2 linked regions of the Saccharomyces cerevisiae S288C genome follow. The gene in region 1 interacts genetically with each later gene. Each region holds a gene or a part of one and is shown on either strand. Other genes may lie near its edges.

Region 1 (2,698 bases):
TGGAACCCGTTTTGTACCATTACCTTTTCGTTAACCGGTTCATTCAGGATATGAGATATTTTTGTAACAGAATCATGCCCACTCATTATAACTATGGAGATGGACGTACGAACAAGAACATACACGATAATCTAGAATTTGGAACAAAAAGCGAAGTTATTCAATATTATTTTCCTCCGAAGCGCTACACCTCCAGCGCCCTTGAGCTTAAAACAACCTTTATCTTCCACGCTGATGTAAAGTGTAGTTCTTATTTTAAGTGATGATGTTCACGAACTATGCTCGGCCACCGTTCACACATGCCGAAGATTTGAGTGTCACATCAACAGGCTTTCGGACGACTGAATACCAACAGCATCAAGCTGATTTGGCATCATTGTATGCATCATACAAACGTAATAAAGCACGGATGGAAGTCTTAGATATGACTTATATATATTCGTAGAAGAAAATTCGCTAAAATAAGCACTTATTGATTTTGAGTATAAAGAACATAAACATAAACAATTCATAAATAAACCATTAAAAAAATAAAAGGACTTGGTTAATTGCGCCCAAAAAAACGTAACATTATTTTTTCATGTTTTCGTAAGTCTTCCAATCGTTCGCAATTCCTCTGCCAGCGTTCATCTTTGTTCCAGATTGATCATGGCCCATCTTCATTCCCCCTTCGGACTGATCATGACCCATACCCATGTCCATGTTCATATCATCCCTTTCCTTGTTGGAGGATTTGGCGTTCTTTCCCTTCTGATGGGAATCATCGTTACCTTGTAATTTTTCAGCGAACTTATTCATCATGTTAGACATCTTGACTATACTTTTTTATATACCTTTCTACTAAAGTAAAGAGCACAGATACAAAGATTAAAAATGCCTAGGGACAAAACTTTGGGGCAGAATTGGGAGCTTTATATATGTTTGTGATGTTGATTCTGAGGGATGATAATTGCCCTCTCAGTCCCATCATTCTTTACACCTCGTACTGTATTCATGATCATCTATCCATTTTACATACCGCTCCCTTTAAGATACGTTTATTCGTAACTCCCATTTACCAATCACTATGAGCCGTCCACGTTTCCAAAAAAACCTAAACATATGATGCAAACCTCCAATGAGACTCAACGTAACATGCAAGTAAATACAGAAGGTTAAGAGATAGTTGTCTTAAAGGGGTACCGAAAGCATTTAGGGGAGGCTTAAGGGAGGGTGCCGATCCTATGAAGTATTAATACGTAATGCCAAAAGGAATTGTTGAACATCTGAAGTGGATAGATTAATCGTACAGTAATCGTACAGTACTATGTCTTACTGATGTCGGGAATCTCAGGGGCGACCGCCCCCGGCTAGAATTATCTATATAACGGTAAAAAGAATAAAACTCTATTCTAGTTCTCGCCATTTACCTTGACTTTAATGAACCAATAAAAGAAATTTCTACAACCAAGACATCCAGAATGAATACAGACCAACAAAAAGTGAGCGAAATATTTCAGAGCTCAAAGGAAAAATTGCAGGGCGATGCAAAGGTAGTGAGTGACGCTTTTAAGAAAATGGCTAGTCAAGACAAGGACGGCAAGACTACCGATGCTGATGAAAGTGAAAAACACAACTATCAAGAGCAATACAACAAGCTCAAAGGGGCGGGGCATAAGAAGGAGTAGCTCTGTTGTCCTACTATCGATTATTTGTGCCAGCGGGCTCTGTTAGGTTGAGGGTGGAAAGTGTAGAAAAAGCAGACCTATTTGCCAGCGGATACATAGCCACAGCTCATACATAAAATTTTCATACTTAAGTCTAAACACAATAATATATTTTTTTTATCGAAGACATCCAAAAACTTAGTAATCGTCGTCACCACCGTATTGATTACGACCGCCTCTATTAGATGAACCATAAGAGTCATCATTGTTGGATGAACCGTAGTTGGAAGACCCATAGGAGTTCTTGTTTCTATTAGAGGAACCGTAAGAGTCGTCATTGTTGGAACCGTAAGAGTCATTGTTGTTGCTGGAGCCGTATGAATCATCGTTGTTGGAACCATAAGAACTCTTCTTTTTGTTAGAAGAACCGTAGGAATCATCGTTGTTAGAACCATACGAATCGTTGTTGCTGGAACCATAAGAACTCTTCTTCTTGTTGGAAGAACCATATGAATCATCATTGTTAGAGCCATAAGAATCGTCATTGTTGGAACCATAAGAACTCTTCTTCTTGTTGGAAGAACCGTAAGAGTCGTCGTTATTGGAAGATCCGTAAGAATCATCGTTGCTAGAAGAACCGTAAGAGCTCTTATTCTTGTTTGACGAACCGTAAGAGTCGTCATTGTTGGAACCGTAAGAGTCATTGTTGTTGCTGGAGCCGTACGAATCGTCATTGTTAGAACCATAAGAGCTCTTCTTCTTGTTGGAAGAACCGTAGGAATCATCGTTGTTAGAGCCATATGAATCATTGTTGTTAGAACCATATGAATCATCGTTGTTAGAACCATACGAATCGTTGTTGCTGGAACCATAAGAACTCTTCTTCTTGTTGGAAGAACCATATGAATCATCATTGTTAGAGCCATAAGAATCGTCATTGTTGGAACCGTAAGAGCTCTTATTCTTGTTTGACGAACCGTAAGAGTCGTCATTGTTGGAACCGTAAGAGTCATTGTTGTTGGAACCGTAAGAGTCATTGTTGTTGGAACCGT
Region 2 (2,878 bases), on another chromosome or scaffold:
CTCAATGCAATAATCTGATAGTTGGATCAACCCTTTCAAGTCGTGCCGCCATCTGAATAGGTTGAAGTTACCCAAGCGGATCCAGCTGGGCGCAAAACGGCATACAACAGCGCACGGTTCTTGATTGCGCCTTTGCGCCTTCGTCCCCGGTAACAGAGTTAATTGCATAGCTCTTGTGGATGGAATTCCAATACTGTGCAACGCCTCGCTCATTATGAATTCACGTATGCTTGATCTTAACACAGCTTTCCCATCTGCAAACCGAGAAAATGGCGTCATACCGGCACCTTTCAACTGAAACGTTTGCCATTGTCCGCTACACTTGTCCTTAAGATCAAACAAGTTTACCACACGTCCGTCTCCCAGCTGTGCAGCAAATGAGCCGAATTGAAATCCGGAGTACACTGTACTATAGGGAAAGATACTATCGGAATAATATACTTTCTCACCGGATAGTATTTTCTCCAAGTCCTGATCCTGCACCAAATTAAACTCATCAAGTGCGTTTTGCGAAAGCAGTAATGGCTTGTAATGTGGTTTCTTAGTGGGCAAACAAAATGCAAAATGAGCCCCCTGCGAAACCATCCGAGGCGTATGGAAAAGCTTTAATCTCACGGGATCCGTTGCATTGTACTGCTGCACGACGTTTATTGCCTCTTGTATGGACGACAGGGAAGTATCTGCGGTCAACTTCTTGATGAAGTGGGACGCTGCAGAGTTTTTCAGCGCTTTGATTATTGTCCTTTTTTCCCCCATGATTGTGTTACACGCTCTATCTTCTTTCTCACACCTTCCTTCTTCTACTTCCGGAGTATAGTCTCTAGCTTATCCTTGATGGCTCTTTTTATGCAGGCAGAATAATTACAGTGACGTATTTGTGGCTTCTTTGGCACAACGTTTTGTTCCACGATCACCTCATATCACCGTTAAGTTCTTCATCGTCCAATTCCGGAGTTCCCCGTCAGCCGTGCGACCATGTGGTATTTCACCCGAATAATTAAGGGAAAACAGAAGGAGAATTACGTATCTTAAAGGAGCTAGACTCTTTGCCTCATTGAGGCTTTCTATACATCGGGTCCCCATGTATGGTCCGTTCCATAGTCGAAGCATCCTTAATTTCCTGTGACATTACAGTAGTTTCGCCGTAGAGCCTTTCACGGGAAGAATATGTTCAGTGGTTCCAGGTATGGGTTTGAGGATGTTCTTGTAAGGTGTGTAGATCCCATCTTTTTTAGGGATCACAAAGGGAAAATAACTACACAGCATGTGGTGGTACAGATGAGGTCAATGGCAGTTTTGCCTTAGTTGTAAGTAATTAACCAATCCTTGTCGTGCTTCTCATGAATGTGTATGAATTTATGTTCATCAGAATATCCCTCTTTAACCACAGTTCTTGCGTAAAGCATAGTCTGGCTTCCTTTAGAAAAAGGAAATGTGGTAATTCTAGGACCACGTTTTGGGCTTCGTCATTTCTTTTCACTCCTCCACTTTTATGACATTTGATCGCAAGTTCCTCCATACATCATGCCTAGTAATCAAAACAAATAACGCACAAGGGAGTAAAGGGAAATGGTTAGAAAAGACCGAAATCCTTTTTTTGGTCTCCGTTACGTGCTTGTTAATCAGGCTCCCTTGAAGCAGTCAATATTTCTTGGACTATAAAAGCACATTACTATTTCATCAAAAAAAGGATACATACCTACCCTCAACTCTTAATATCTACTAGCAGCAGAGCCAAACACTACCGCATAAAAGCTAAGTACGAATAACAATTAAGAAATGTCCAATCTATTAAACAAGTTTGCTGATAAGTTGCACGGCAACGATCATGATGAACGTTACGAAGACGACAATGACGACCAGACTAGACAACAGCGTCATGAAAAACATCAACAGAGGGAATTCAGGAATCAAGGATCCAAGGCCGATCCCTACGGCGAAGAAAACCAAGGGAATTTCCCTCAACGCCAGCAGCCACAGTCTAATCTAGGCGGTAACACGCAGTTTGGCGGTAACGACTTCCAGCAACAAACTACTGACTACACTGCCGGCACTGGTGGTGGCACTTATACCCAAACTTACCGCGAAACTAACACTCAAGGTCAGTTGGACGACGATGAAGACGATGACTTCTTGACTTCGGGCCAACAGCAAAAACAAGGTCGTACAAGAGGTGCTCAAAGTAACCGCTACCAATCCTCTAATATCGGCAGCGGTAGACGCGATCTGTCTGGGTCAGGAAACGATGAATATGATGATGATAGTGGGAACCAAGGCGTCTGGTAGATGCGGTGGTCGAAGCTTCTATTACATGCCTGAGGTGCGGGTCTCACCCTTGAGCAGCAAGTGAGAAATTTTACCCTAATTTCGTCTTCTTTTTTCTTTTTTCTTCATCTGGACCTATTATTGGTCATGATGCCACTTTTTACAAACTATTTCATATGTTTAATCTAGTTTATTTAGATCTACAGCTGTCAGTTTATACGTTTTTATTAATGTCAGTTTGATTTGATTAGTAGTGACCTTTTTCGTCGAGGTATGCCGTTTCACGGACCTCCAGATCCAGGTGTATAACAATAGAATTATGGGAAAACGGGGTGGGAAGGTCGTTGTCTAACTCAAACCTCCTGGAATTAGCGGGTAAAGTGTCGTTATTGTGCTGGGCAACAACTTTTTTTTACGATTTCTTTTTACCTCTCATCTAGGTTAGTGTTAGTTGTAAAAACCCGAGCAGATTGGTGCCTTTTCAAGTGCGTTCTTACAACCATACTTTTTTATTCTAGAACGTGTAAGCAATTACTTTCTCAAAAAAGCAAACGCAATAAAGATATGCTACGGATAAGTATTGACTCTATCAAGCAATTCGGTTCCTTTGTGC

The links.
Region 2: of SIP18 (region 1) and GRE1, changing one enhances a phenotype caused by changing the other (phenotypic enhancement), as found in Saccharomyces cerevisiae (one study listed by BioGRID).

What each region holds. Positions count from the first base shown.
Region 1 is NC_001145.3:609,128-611,825, reverse strand, and holds SIP18 (Sip18p), read right to left. Parts: upstream 811-2,698; coding exon 571-810; downstream 1-570. Other genes in the region: ECM5 (Ecm5p), read right to left, coding at 1-86; YMR175W-A (uncharacterized protein), read right to left, coding at 318-512; PAI3 (Pai3p), read left to right, coding at 1,461-1,667; DDR48 (DNA damage-responsive protein 48), read right to left, coding at 1,845-2,698.
Region 2 is NC_001148.4:128,040-130,917, reverse strand, and holds GRE1 (Gre1p), read left to right. Parts: upstream 1-1,779; coding exon 1,780-2,286; downstream 2,287-2,878. Other genes in the region: FMP40 (Fmp40p), read right to left, coding at 1-756; MMT2 (Mmt2p), read left to right, coding at 2,830-2,878.